Linked DNA regions of Canis lupus familiaris. The protein of the gene in region 1 purifies or fractionates together with the protein of each later gene. This does not show direct contact. Links are inferred from orthologs where the notes say so. Each region holds a gene or a part of one and is shown in the gene's direction. Other genes may lie near its edges.

Region 1 (8,004 bases):
GAATCTTCAGCAGACTCTGTGTTAATCTCAGCCCAATGTGGAGCTCCATCTCACGACCTTGAGATCATGACCCCAAGATCACAACCTGAGCCAAAACGGAGAGTCTGATGCTCAACTCACTTAGCCACCCTGGTGCCTCTAAGAGGATTTTTTTCATAAGGGAGGTTTATTTTCTGCTTTCAGGGGGACAGAGGAGGATTTGAGGGTCCTTGCACTAGCTGTTTCTCGAGTGACTTTTATTTAAAATAATCACTATGCCGAAGGGGCACAATTTAGGGTGGCCTGCCCTTGGGCCTTACAGCCCCAACCCTGTTGGTCCTCGATCGTCAGAGACTTCTTAGTGAATTGGCACCTGGGTGTGCAGGCCTGGAAGCTGTGTTTTTAATATGCTTGCAGGTGGTGCTCAGCAAAATCGGAAGCCTCAACCTCGGGAGCACACCAACAGGGCTATACTTTCAGTGCCACAATGCGGGCCAGTGTGAGCATTTTTTGTTAAATTAAAACCTGCACCCCATGAAGCCCATTGCTGGCCCTTGTTTCCTCTGCGGAGCAACACAGAATGAATACACATCCTATTCTCCATGGCAACCCCCAAAACACTTGAAGTTAGCATCTGCTGCACAAAAAGACACCGAAAGTTACTTTCCTAAAAAAGTAAAATAATGACTCTCATTCAAATATAAGGTGAACATATGTGCAAGATTTTACTTAACTCATTAATGAAGGAGGGAGTCAGTAGGTATTTTTTATTTTAAAATAGTTAGGGCAGCCCTGGTGGCTCAGGAGTTTAGCGCCGCCTTCAGCCCAGGGCGTGATCCTGGGGACCCGGGATCGGGATGGAGTCCCACATTGGGCTCCCTGCATGGAGCCTGCTTCTCCCTCTGCCTGTGTCTCTGCCTCTCTCTCTCTCTGTCTCTCATGAATAAATAAATAAAATCTTTAAAAAATCTAGTTAAAAGGAGAATTTAAAAGAGCAGCTGGTTAGAAATGCAGAATTTAGGTCTGTGAATAGATGTAAAGCAGGAGTGGGGAGGCTGTGGGGTCCCCCTTGCACCAGGGAAAGTCTATTTGCATATACATGGACAAGAGTTATTAGCATTACTATCAATTTCCTAAAACTACAGAGTGGTAACTAGTTTGAAGACTACAAAGTGCACAACCACAAGCTCTCCTCACACCTGCAAGTTTGCTCAGGCTTCACTTAACACTGCAGAGAACACCCAGGACATCTTTTTCTTTTTCTTTTCTTTTCTTTTTTTTTAATTCCAAAGACGTTCAAGTGTCTCCTGACAGGTCATTGACTGGTGGGCAAATTCTAAGTGCTCAAATCTCAAACTATGCTTCAAGATCAACTATCTGTTCTTCCTACTCTTCAGGCTAAAAGAGAATTTAAAAAATCAAATTATGACCGACTCTCATCTAGTTATAAAATGAACACACGTCAAAGATTTCATTTAACTCATTAATTAAATAAGGCAACTGAGCAGATGCTGCATCTGGTTCAAAGGGAAAGTCCTAGAAACACAAGTTTATGTGAAATGAAGACATGTTTTTTTAAGAATTTACTTATTCATTCATGAGAGACACAGAGAGAGGCAGAGACACAGGCAGAGGGAGAAGCAGGCCCCATGCAGGGAGCCTGACGCAGGACTTGTCTGTGGGACCCCAGGATCACGCCCTGGGCTGAAGGCAGATGGTCAACTGCTGAGCCACCCAGGCGTCCTGAAATGAAGACTATCTAAATGAATGTGCAGATGGCCTCAACTGACCTCCCCCACTTGGGGAAACCCCTCCACGGGTCAGGATGAGTTTGGGTCTCTACAGTGTACTGTCTGGCTATCCACAGCAGCTCAAACAGTGAAAGGCTACTACCCAGCAAGCTGGGAAGAAGGGCTCTAATCCAGGATTCTCAGCATTGCTGATATTTTGGGTCAGATCACTTGCTGTGGAAGCTGTCTCAGGCAGTAAGAAGTTTAGGAGCATCCCTGCTACCCAGGAGAGGGCAGTGGCCCCCATCTACAGTCCTGACAATGAAAATTGTCTTCCAGACAAGCCCAGTGTCCCCTCGGGCCAGGTGCAGGGGGCAAATTCACCCCGTTTCCCCCTGAAGGGGGGGTGCACTAGCAGTGGGTGGGACCCCGCCTGGGTGCTGGAGTGGGGAAGCTCCCCCCCAACACTCTGCCCCTGTCACTCAGGCCTCCCTCCAAGGTGAGTTTCAGGTAACCAGCAAGACCTTTCTGGTCATCTCCACCTCCAACCTGGGGCTCCTGACGCCAAGAGCACGGGTCGCGCTGCACCTACTGACCCGGCCAGGCGCCCCACAACCCACCCCTGCAAAATCTGGGACATACTTAACGCCGAGAAAACATTGGTGCTACCCTGAAATTCAAATGGAACGGCGAGGATGTATTTTTGATTGCCAGCCGGCAGTGACCTGCAGCGTGTGACGAGGGCAGGCCCCGAGGCCCGGAACCCTGCGTCCCCCCAGCTCTCCGAGGCCCGCGGCCGGCAGCTGCAGGAGGGCACAGCGGGGCACGGGAGCGCGGGGCCCCCTGTGCTGGGGTTGCCGCGGGCCTTAAACGAGAGACCGGCTGCGGAGCCGTGGCCACAGCGCTGGGGCCTAGGTGGTGGCGGCGGATCGAGGTCAGGGACCTCCCTGCCCCGGGGGCCGCCGAGGGGACCTGGCCGCTCCTCCCCGCCCCGCGGCCCCAGGCCCCAGGCCCCGCCCCCAGCAGGAGGCCCCGCCCCAGCAGGAGGCCCCGCCCCCCCGAGGCCCCGCCCCCGCCGGGAGGGGGCACCGCCTGCAGCGCCGCCGACCGCAGTCCCGCCGCCGCTCGCCCGACCAGGCCGCGCCCCTGCCGCCCGGGCCCCGCTCGCCGCGCCCCGCAGCGCCCCCGAGCCATGGCCGGCATCGCGGCCAAGCTGGTGAGGGACCGAGAGGCAGCCGAGGGGCTGGGCTCGCACGAACGGGCCATCAAGTACCTCAACCAGGACTACGAGGCGCTGCGGGACGAGTGCCTGGAGGCCGGGGCGCTCTTCCAGGACCCCTCCTTCCCGGCCATCCCCTCCTCCCTGGGCTTCAAGGAGCTGGGGCCCTACTCCAGCAAGACCCAGGGCATCGAGTGGAAGCGGCCCACGGTAGGGGGAGGTGCGGGGGGCCCGGGGGGCGGGGCGGGCGGGCGAGCCGGGAGGGGGCTGCGGGGAACGGGGTGGGGGCGGGGGGGTGAGGGGGCGCGGGGAACGGGGCGGGCGTGGGTGGGGGTGCTGGGAACCGGGTGGGGGCGCGGGGTGCGGGGCCGGGCCCCTGGCGGGCGGAGCACACCCAGGTCGCGGAGGGCCCCGAGAGCGCGCTCCTCCCCGTTAGCCGGTCCGCAGCGCAGGCCCGGCCCCTCCCTGCCCCCGCGCTTCCCGGGGCGGCCCGGCGCGCCCTGCCCTCCGGGGCCGGGGCCGGGGCCCATAGCAGGCCCGCCAGGGGAGCCGCCCTCCACCCCACGCGGGGGACCCGGGGGAAGCTGCTTGGACTCCGGGGGGGGGACATGGTAGGGAGGAGGGTCCGCGGGGAAAGGAGGGGGAGGCAGTGTCTGACCAGGAAAAGTCAGGCTGCAACTCGGCTTGCGTCTGCCTCAGGGAGGAGGGAAATCCGCATTCTGGGCCTTTTGTGAGGAAGGATCTCTCCTGCGGTCGTGGTTACATTGACCCAATCAGAGTTTCTGGTTTATTTTTCCACTTGGGAGTCGGCCAGACATCCGCTTACTTGCCCTGATGATTAACAAGGACAGGGGTGATGCAGCACTGAGGCAGATGCTCCTCCTCACTGCGCTGGGCCACCATCCTCCCTGGGGAGCCTCGGGGGCCCCCTCCAAGCTCCCTTGCCCTGTCCACCCCCACACCGGGCCGGGACAGGCCTTGGACACCTTACTCCCTCTTCCTGTTGTGAACCACTGCTGGCTCCCCCTGACACTTCACCGGCTTCCCCCACCAAACCTGGACAAGGCTTCCTGGGAACCCAGCCTCTCGATTCCTGACCTGAGCGTAGGATTGCTGCCCCTTGTCCATGCCTCTGGACCGCCTGGGCCACCTGTTCCCCTACATCCAGCCTGTAGGCAGCAGGCGCAGTAGAAATGCCCTCGGCGGGGTCCCCAGCACTTGAGTTCATTCCTTGCTAACCTACTGAGTGGCCCTGCCTCCGCTTTTTAGCCTTTCTACTTCCATTTCTTCATCTAAAAGGAGAGGTGTTGCTAAATATTTTCCTCATTTATTATTCTTTATCTTTTACGATTCCTCACAGAGCCCTGCTATCTTTCCTCAAGTGTTTTTGCAGCTTATAGACATAGTTAGGTATTATCTGTCCTTCTCCCTGAACTGCTGGGCCCTATGTATCAGTCACCAGTGTGTCCCCAGAGGCCAGTTCCACCTCGTCCAGCAGTGTGTACTGAGCGTCTGTTATATGCCAGGTGCTGTCTTCAGTGTTGGGCTCATCGGTGAACAGAACAACAGTGATTCTCCGTGGAACAACGGAATGAATGACAGCAGGTCGTAGTGCACCTAAGGGAAGTTGTGGTTGTGAAGGTGACAGATGAGAGAGCGTATTCACCTGACATGAGCACAGCGCCTCACAGCTTAGAGTGAATTTGCACACTCTGTCCCTTGTTCTTTCATTTACTAAATAAGCACTTACTGAACACTTACTATGTGCCAGGCATGGTGTGTCTCGTTTTTGCCTCCTTAGACTTTAGGGCTGGTGACGGGAGGCAGGTCATCCAACAGTTGGAAATACCAGGAGGGTTTCCACCCCTGCTTAGGGGGAGATGCTGTGAGCTGTACAAGTGTCAGGGGGACGCGGGGAGGCTGTTACATTCCCACTCCACTGTGGAGGAATGGAGGTTCCCGGAAGCTAAATGTTTGCTCACACAGGTGTCCAGGGAGGAGCCAGAACTCTGTCCAGCCTGTCGGTGTACAGAGCCCCCGGCTCATGGCTGCCCTCGGCCTCCGTCCTACCCTCCCGGACACTGCTGTGCTTGGGGTCCAGGAAGGGAAACACAATGTCCCCAGATTTGGACACAAGACTTTCATGGATCCACCATGGGAAGGTGGTGACGAGTCAAACTGCTCTATGCTGTGGACTCCACAGTGAGGGACCCAAAGGGACGAGTATCATCTCTTTCAGAAGACTGTCTAAAAAGAGACAGGGAGTGGTGGATAGGGCTGTGGGGTTTGAGAGGCTGTGGGGTGTGTCATGAGTTGAGTCAACAGGGAGGAAGGGGTGAAAGCCGGGCAGACAGGAGGAGTTGGTGAAACAGGGTCCTGAGGAGGGAGAGCAAGGGGTGGGCAAGCTGGGCTGGCTCCTCCCCAGAGAGGTGTTTCCTGATCTCACTGCTGCTGCTGCTGCTGCTGACTGGCCCTGGGACTGAGAAGGGACCAGAGTCCCTGGAAGGCGCAGTCTCACTCTGGCAGGGGTGCAGGGAGAGGGCAGGGGCAGCAGAGGCAGGCAGGGGTGGCAGGGGCGGGCCATGTGAGTCCTAGTGTCCCCTGAGAGCCCAGACCTCTGTGGTGACTCACTTGTTCAGCCTCAACCCTGCGTCTCCTGCCTCTGGGTTCAGGGACTAGTATCCCCTTGTTTGTCAGTGACTATGGTAACAGGTGATTTCCGTGGAGTGCTTACCAAAGCCACCTCCACGGTCATCTCACTGAACCTCCAGAACACCCTGTGGTCGGTACACTTGTCACACCATCCCCATACTACAGTTGAGAAACCAAGGCCAAGAGAGGTGGAGGGACTTGCCCGGGGCTAAAACCTGTTCAAGTGGCAGAGCCAGGGCTCAGACCCCATTGCCAGAACCCAGAGCCCAGGTGCTCACCCTCTTCCCTGAACCCATCACATCCCTGTTTACTGGATGTGTGCAGGCTTGTGTGCAGGCCTCAGAGGGCCAGTCTGGGCTTTGCCTTCTTTGAAGAGGCTGCCCAAGGTGCGGGAAGGTTTCTGAACCAGTGGAAAATCCTGCTGGGGGATGAGCCTGGCACAAGGAGGAACGGCAGCATGTTCTTGGGTTCTCGGCACCAAGCCCAGTGGGTCCGTCAAAACGCTGCATGGGTGGTTGGCTGGCAGGCTCAGTTGCTCAGCAGAAACACATTCTCATTGTCCCGTTATCCCCAAAACAGAGCAACCTGAGCAGGGAAGGCACAGTGCGAAGCCTGAAAGGAATGTGCTCTGCTGTAGATTGAGGTGCAGGGCCAGGGCCGGGGCCCAGGGCTGGGGTCTAGGCCAGAGGCAGGCCCCACCCGGGAAGGGCTTTTGCTTGCCCGAGAGGGGAACACCGCGGGGTGTGGGGTGGAGCACCTGCAAACTGAGGTCACCAGAGCTGATGAAAGCCCAGATTTATGCCTGGCTTCCTCTGTGGCTTCAAAATCAGGAAACAGAGAGAGAGGGTGGTGGAAGGGGCCAGAATTGTTCACTGTTGGCCGCCAGCAGGCTGCTTGTGACACCCTTAGGGTTTTGTTACTCATCAGTTGGAGGCAGTGCAGGAGCAGAAAGAGTACGCGCTCTAGGCCAGTGAGCGCAAATCCCGCGCCGCTGTCTGTGACTTAGGGTCAGCTCCCCATGGACACATTGTTTCACATCTTCTATCCCTTGGCCTATTTCTTCTCCCATAAAATGGAGACAGTACCCATCTGTGTTCCTGGGAGGGTTCCATGACATAAAGCACCACGCGCAGCCTGGCTCTGCAGCAGGTTCCCAAGCACAGATGCTGCCAGTATCCTGGCCCGGTGGACCGATTCAGAAGGCATACCTCACTCACCAGCACCTCTAGATGGTGCAGAGTCCAAGTGTTCTGGGGCTCAGAATCCCAGAGATGACCAACGGCTGGGCTGTGAAGGAGGGCTTCCTGGAGGAGGTGGCAATGAGTCTTGAACTATGGTAGGAGGTGAGAGATCAGGGTGGGAAAGGAATCCCACGAAGACAAAACAGCTGATGTGCAGGACTGGAGAGGGGCTGAGGGGGCGGCCCCAGGGGTGAAAGGATCACACACCTGGTGGAGAGGCAGCTCCATGCCTCTGTGGCTTCAGATAGCAGTGAAATGATGTAGGCTGCAAGCAGTGCGGGGCGTTGGGGCTCCACGGAGCAAGGTGCAAGCAGGACCCCATGGCAGCCTGTAACTGCACTGCCTTCCCCAGGGGGCAGGGGCAGGGAGAAGGCATCTGGTGTACCTCCTGGGAGCTGAGGTATCCTAACCACACAAGCCCGCGCCTGGTGGTTGACAGTGGGTTTCATTCCCAGGAGATCTGCGATGATCCGCAGTTCATTGTTGGAGGCGCTACCCGCACGGACATCTGCCAGGGAGCCCTGGGTAAGTGACAGCACCTGAAATGGGCTTGCCTTCCTCCCTCCCAGGCAGCCTGATGATTTCCAATTCCAGAAGCTTCCTGGGATTTCTGCTCCCCTGAGGGCCCCCTTTCCCCCCACCCCCCTGAGCTGGTGGTGGAGGGTGGAGGGGCTTCTGGATTCCGGCCACCCCTTGCTCTAGGAAGCTCCTGGGGGCAGAGTTGGGAGCAGCCTGTGATAGTCTGTGGGCTGAGGGCCAGGGCAGAGGAACTCCCCAGGCCAGTGACGGCACTGACACCTCTGTTCTCTGGGGCTCCGGGGCCCAGGGATGGTGACTCAGTGGGAGGGAAGAGGAAAGTCTCTGCGCCCGCTGCTAAGCGGAAGTCAGAGCACCAGGTTGTCAGTGTTTGCAAGACAAGCTCACCATGGTATCACAACAGCAGGGAGCAGTGCTTCTCATCGCAAAGGTGCTTGTGATGTTCATTTAAACAAGACGTATGAGGGAGGCTGAACCGTGGGCATCTGCAGCCGAGCTCCTATCTCCTCCTGGACACAGTGCCGCTGAGACTGGACCTGCAGGGTTTCTGGCTTTACTGTGAAATCTCCCAGGGCTTCTGTGAAGTCTTAGCAGTGGGCCTGGAACCCTTAAGTACGACGCTCGTAGAACCCACTTGAGATAAATA
Region 2 (6,343 bases), on another chromosome or scaffold:
AATTCACCTAGAAGCCATCCTGAACTTCTGTTTGTTGAGAGTTCAATAGACCATTTTGAATGCTTAGCAAGCATGTAAAAGGCCTTGCCCTGGCTGCTTTTCTGTATTTCTTATCTTCATCTAGGATTTACACATCTGCAGCTTATGTTGTATATTTCTGCCTCTAGAAAGAAAAATAAATAAAAAGTAAATCTCTCTCATCCAAGATATTAGAGCCAGTGTGGTTCATAGCCATACATCTCCATCTCCAAAGTCACATGCTTTGTTCTTTCATGTCATCCACTTAGGTTATAATCATTCACTGGGGCTCAGGTGTGTTCAATAGGTATTCTCTGCTGTGGTATAAGGCTTTCCTTTGGTTCTTACATGGAGAGATGTCCCTCAGGATTAGCTAGTCCCTTCACCACACAAAGTAGTTCTTTGACTAATAATTTGTTTTAGCATACCTTGATATCAAAAAGATGGTCTAGGGGCAGCCCGGGTGGCTCAGCGGTTTAGCACCTGCCTTCAGCCCAGGGCCTGATCCTGAATACCTGGGATCAAGTCCCACGTCAGGCTCCCTGCATGGAGCCTGCTTCTCCCTCTGCCTGTGTCTCTGCCTCTTTTTTCCCTCAGTCTCCTGAATAAATAAATAAAATCTTAAAAGATGGTCTTAAAGAAAAAAAAAAAAAAAAGATAGGAGGTATAAGCATTCTGGTCCTAAGAAAAGGATATACTCATTTAAAAATAACTGAACATTCTGGTTTATAATTTCTTAAAAATTTAATAATTGACAGCTTACTGAAATTATGTTGTGTGTTTTCTCTCAGAGTTTCAAGAAGTTTTTAACAGAAATGTCATGATTGTTGCTGCAACAAATAGACCTGATGTATTAGATGATGCCTTGTTACGACCTGGAAGATTAGATAAGATTATTTATATTCCACCTCCAGATGAAAAGGTAATCATTGCACATGTTTAGTGTATGTGAGGATTCTTAACACATCAATGTCTGAGCTCTAAGGAGCCTAGCAGAATTGAATCCCAAACTGGATATATACGTACATGGTATATGACTTACACTGGGTTCTCATTCTTCTTTGCCTGGTAGCCCTTCATAAACACATAATTTTGATCTGCTTTTGCTGGATACTCTAGGCCTATTTTCAGAGAAACATAAGCCTAAAAATAATTATATTTTTCATTGCTGAGGCAGACTCAAAATACTGAGCTTGTTACATCTACTCAAACATTATTTTACAACTAGAATGGAGGAATCTTAAAGTATTAAAAACAGTTGGAGATTATTTTTATCAGTATTCTTATTTTATAGTAGGAAAGTCTGAAATTAGAGAGATTACACAGTTTCCATAGTCAGAGAATCAGTAAATCTTTGCCCTTTTAACATCCACAGCTACAAGCAAGGAATGGTTAAAGTCAACAAATTTTTTCCATCCTTCCTAAATGAAAAAAAAAAATTAAATGTCTATTTTTAAGTTGTATCCAGATAATTCATGTTTTTGCTTCTTAAACCATGTCTGATAACACTATAACCATGTCTGATAACACTATTTATACCCAAAATGAGGACTCATGTGTCTCTTAAATGTACCTATAGTTGGCTATTTTAAAAATTATTATAAAAGTATTAAAAGTTTATCATGTCATTATTTTTACCATTATCATATGAACCATTGATGAGTTACTCTTCTTACCTCTTCAGAAGTTATTATTATTTATTTAAATAAATATATACACAGCTGTAGTATGACAGGAAACATATTAAAATGTTTTAATACAGCTTTGTGTCAAACATAAATGTTATAATAAGATTATAAACATTTTAATTTTTTTTTTTCAGGGCAGGCTTTCTATTTTGAAAGTCTGTACAAAAAATATGCCAATGGGGCCTGATGTTTCCTTAGAAAACATAGCAGCAGAAACCTGTTTTTTCTCTGGTGCTGATCTTGGAAATCTTTGCAAAGAAGTAAGTTAATTAGCGAAGGAACATATGGTTGACAACATTTCTTCATTTATTCAGATCTTCTCTACCCTTCCCTATCCTTCCCTACCCTTCCCTACCCTTTCCTACCATACCCTACCCTACTCGAGCTTATAGGTTCATGGCAGGTTGCAAAGAGGGAAATTGTAATACTGAATTGACAATTGATAATGTGTAGTGAATCAGGAAGTTTAGGGTATTATGGGAGCACTTGTGAAGGACACTGACCCAGACCGCGGGCGACTGAAGTAAGAGAGAACATGACATTGAAGAGCTGGATAATGGCCAGATCACACAGGTCTTTATAAGCCACTTTAAGGGATTTAGACTTTGAGAGCAAAAGAAGCTAGGTGTTTCCCTTTCCACAAACTTTTATTATATATTATATTTTATTATAGGTACTCTTCAGATAGGGGTGCCTGGTTGGCTCAGTCGGTTAAGTGTCTGCCTTTGGCTCAGGTCTCAGGGGATCAAGGGGGAGCCTGCTTCTCCCTCTCTCTCTGCCCCTGTGTTCTCTCTCTCTCAAATAAAATCTTTAAAAAAATGTACTATTCAGAAAAATGCACAGATCATAAGGATATAGTTCATTGAATTAACATAAAATGAACACTTTTATAACTATCAGGAAAGGGATTATTATCAACACCCCAGAAGCTTCTCTTGGGGCTTTCCCAATCTCCCTCCCAAAAGGGAACCACTCTCCTGACTTCCAACACTGGAGATTAGTTTTGCTTGCTTTGGAACTTTATATAAATAGGACTGTACAGTATATTTTTATATCTGCTTTAACTCAGGATTATGTTTTGAACTTCATCTGTGGTTTTGCCTATAGCGGTAGTTTGTGCATTTCTATCACTTTGTAATATTCTAGGTTATGAATATACTGCATTTATTCATTTTTTTGAACATTCGGGTTACTATTTTTTGTTACAAATTATGCTGCTGTGAATAATCTTGTTATGTCTGTTAGTACATGTATAGATAAGTCTATTTTATATATGTATATACCTACCAAGAGAATTGCTGGGTCACAGAGTAGGTGTTTTTGATCTTTTCCTTTAGGATCAGTGCTCTGTTCTGTTTAAAAACTCCTATTCTGAGGTCAGAAAGATAGTCTCTCATCTTTAAATATGTATATGGACTCATAGTGTACGCATTATGCTGCAACTTGCTTTTTCTTTTTTCCCATTTAAGAAGAGATGATGGTCTATTAAGATAACTTTTAATCGCTTTATTTAACTTTTTAGTGTTTTCAGTGTCATGAATATTGGAATTCTAAGAAGTGGGACTGAGGTTTTTACCCCGGATTTTAAAGTATTACCACAAATTGTTCAAAAAAAAAAAAAAAAAAAGTGAAGCACATTCATTATTTCCTCCTGTTTGTGTCTTATAGGCTGCCTTGCTGGCTCTGCAAGAAAATGGATTAGAAGCAACCACAGTGAAACAAGAGCACTTTCTAAAATCACTTAAGACTGTGAAACCATCCTTAAGTCCTGAGGACTTGACTTTGTATGAAAACTTATTTCAGAAACAAGGATTTTCTAACTTAGAAGATATTTAAAAATTAATGTTACATCTCTGCTCACAGATTAATTGAACTGTTAAATTGCCCTATAGTTTTTGCAATTTTGCACTTTTAGAGTTTGTGTGTTATTTCCTGTAAATAAAAGAATTTGTACCAGATAAGCTAAAGCTCATCTTATTTCTAAAAATATATATTAAATATATATTATATATTAAAATACCATAATTTAGGAACAAAATATATGTGTTTTTTTTTAAGATTTTTTATTTATTTGATCAAATATGTTTTCTGGCCTTCTGTCCCTCTCAGCGCTCTCTGGAACCCCAATTTTACATAGATTTTTCCTTATGAGACTATCATTTATTTCCTTTAACCTTTCCTCGTGGTCTTTTAATTGGTTTTCTTCTTTTTTTCCTCAGCTTCCTCTTTGCCATCAACTTGTCTTCTATTTGCTCACTCTTTCTTCTACTTCAATGACCCTCATCGTTAGGACCTCCAGTTTGGATTGCATCTCATTTAATTGATTTTTTAATTTTGGCCTGATTAGATCTAAATTCTGCAGTCATGAAGTCTCTCGATTCTTTATGCTTTTTGCCAGAGCCACCAGTAGTTTTATAATTGTGCTTCTGAATTGACTTTCTGACATCGAATTGTAATCTAAATTTTGTAACTCTGTGGCAGAGTACTGTTTCTGATTCTTCTTTTGTGGTGAGTTCTTCTTTCTAGTCATTTTGCTCAGTGCAGAGCAGCTGTGTGAGCAGACTGAATCAAGAATATCAACCATGACCTAAGTAAATTTCAACCTAGATGATTCTGACGAGGTCAGAGACCAGAAATTGAAAACAGATCAGAACAAAATAAAAGGACCACTAAAGTGAAAAATATATTTTAAAACAAAGTAGTAAAAAATAAAAGAATCCCAAAGGAGAAGAAAAAAAAAAAAGGGAGGACTGGGAGATGATGTTGATGACAAAGTTGTAGTGGAGGGAGAATGTAGTCTACCTGAGGGGTCCTAGAGGGTGATCCTCTTGGTTCTGAGTATATTAAGTTCTGTATGTTAGAAGATGCTCAGTCCCAAATTTATATAAACCAGAAATACTTGTAGAGAGCCCCAACATTGACCACCAAAACAAAGGAGGTAAAAGAGGGGGGCAGAATAGGAATGAGGAATCTCACAGAAAACCAGCACGGTATACCACTTGGTTCTGGGTGTATACTGGCCATGTTTTAGAAGGTATTAACTTATGCCATTGTAGAACAAAATGAGGCAGAGAAAACAAAACACAAAAAAACATATCTTGTATATCTCCCAAAATGGAGTATGTTGAAGGGAATCTAGAAATGGAAAGTATATCTAAGACTTGTAGGAATATGAAAGTCAAAAAGGAAGAATCTTAAAAATGAAGAGGTGGTAAAATATTGTAGTTAAGGTGGGAAAAGAAAAAAATTGGAAATTTACAGTCTGATATAAAACCGAGTTGTACTGGAAAATGGAAGAAAAAAAATAGGAGGGGTACCCTCTGGTTCTATAGGCTGTAAATCCTCGACTTCCCCTGGAGCTCTCCAGTGCTGCCGGGTCAAGAAGTTGCTCTTCCCCCGTCCTCCCAGCTGGTCTTCGGGGGGAGGGGCTGCTGTGCTGATTCTCAGGTGTGTGCACCTGGGGGAGGTGCCCCGCCCCTACCAGGTGCGCGGCCCAGTGGGAGCCCTTGACCCCGTGAGGCCCTGTTCCTGGCGGCCCGCTCGGTCCCAGGCACGCGGTGACCCCAGGAGAAGCAGCCCCACTGGCGGCGGCCGGCTCCCCAGCCCCGGAGCAGCTCGGAGCAGCCCTCGCAGTAACTACCGCGGTCTCCGGGGCCGCACTGGCCGGGATGCTCCGGGGCGGGGGCGCCGACCTGCGCAGCTTGGGGCCGCCCCAGCTGCTGGAGCGTCCTCGCGGTCCTGGGCCGTCCCCGCCTCGTCTGTCCCAGGGGGAGCGCAGGACCCCGGCTCTGTCCGCCAGCGCCCTGGGCTCCGGGGCCTGCGCTGCTGCAATCGCGCTCCCGCTCCGGGCCGGGGCTGCGGAAAGCAGCAGGGGCAGCCCCCTCCGTCGGGAGCCGCCGCCGAGCTGCTCCCCGAGGCCCGACCGGCGCGCTCCAGCCCTTGGCCCAGCTCGGCCGCGGGGTGCGGCGCGCTCTCCCCCGGGCGCACTTCCCTCCCGGGCCCGGGAGGCCGGAGGCTCCACTGCCCCTCCTGCGCTTCTGCCCCAGCTCCCCGCGAGGCGCCTTTCCGTCCGGAAGGATCCAGCGCGGGTTTTTCAAGTTCCCGCTTCTCCGAGGCTGGACTTTCTCGTCCAGGAGGCTCTCGCCTTGGGCCTTAGCCCGGCTCCTCGCGGAGGAGGAGGGGAGGGGGGCGGCTTCCCCCACTGGATTATTTTTTTCCTCCTTCCTACCTTGTTAGAAGCGCAAACCCTTCTCTCTGTAGCGTTCCAGCTGTTCTCTCTAAATCTCAGGTCGAATTCGTAGGTTTTCAGGATGGTTTGAAAGTTATCTAGGTAAGTTGGTGGGACCAGGTGAGGTGAGGACCCTACTCCTCCGCCATCCTGCCCTGTCCCCCAAGATATTTTATTTATTTGAGAGAAAGTGCATACAAGTGGCAGGGAGGGGCAGAGAGAGGCAGACTCCCCACTGAGCATGGAGCCTCTGTGGGGTTCAATCCCAGGACCCCAGGATGGTGACCTGAGCCAAAGGCAGATGCTTAACGAACTGAGTCACCAGGCGCCCCTGATTTTTTTTGTTCAGATTTTATTTTTAAGTAATCTCTACACCCAATGTAGAGCTCGAATTTATAACCCCAAGATC

The links. The genes of interacting proteins can lie anywhere in the genome.
Region 2: the proteins of CAPN2 (region 1) and SPATA5L1 purify together in Homo sapiens (co-immunoprecipitation; 3 studies listed by BioGRID and IntAct, with this or other methods). This does not show direct contact. The link is inferred for Canis lupus familiaris from reciprocal best matches to the Homo sapiens genes CAPN2 and AFG2B.

Annotation. Positions count from the first base shown.
Region 1 is NC_049228.1:40,318,363-40,326,366, reverse strand, and holds the start of CAPN2 (calpain-2 catalytic subunit), read left to right. Parts: upstream 1-2,824; 5' UTR 2,825-2,901; coding exon 2,902-3,138; intron 3,139-7,276; coding exon 7,277-7,346; intron 7,347-8,004. UniProt on the Homo sapiens protein: Calcium-regulated non-lysosomal thiol-protease which catalyzes limited proteolysis of substrates involved in cytoskeletal remodeling and signal transduction. Proteolytically cleaves MYOC at 'Arg-226'.
Region 2 is NC_049251.1:12,069,823-12,076,165, forward strand, and holds the end of SPATA5L1 (spermatogenesis-associated protein 5-like protein 1), read left to right. Parts: intron 1-809; coding exon 810-940; intron 941-1,840; coding exon 1,841-1,966; intron 1,967-3,374; coding exon 3,375-3,542; 3' UTR 3,543-3,667; downstream 3,668-6,343. UniProt on the Homo sapiens protein: ATP-dependent chaperone part of the 55LCC heterohexameric ATPase complex which is chromatin-associated and promotes replisome proteostasis to maintain replication fork progression and genome stability.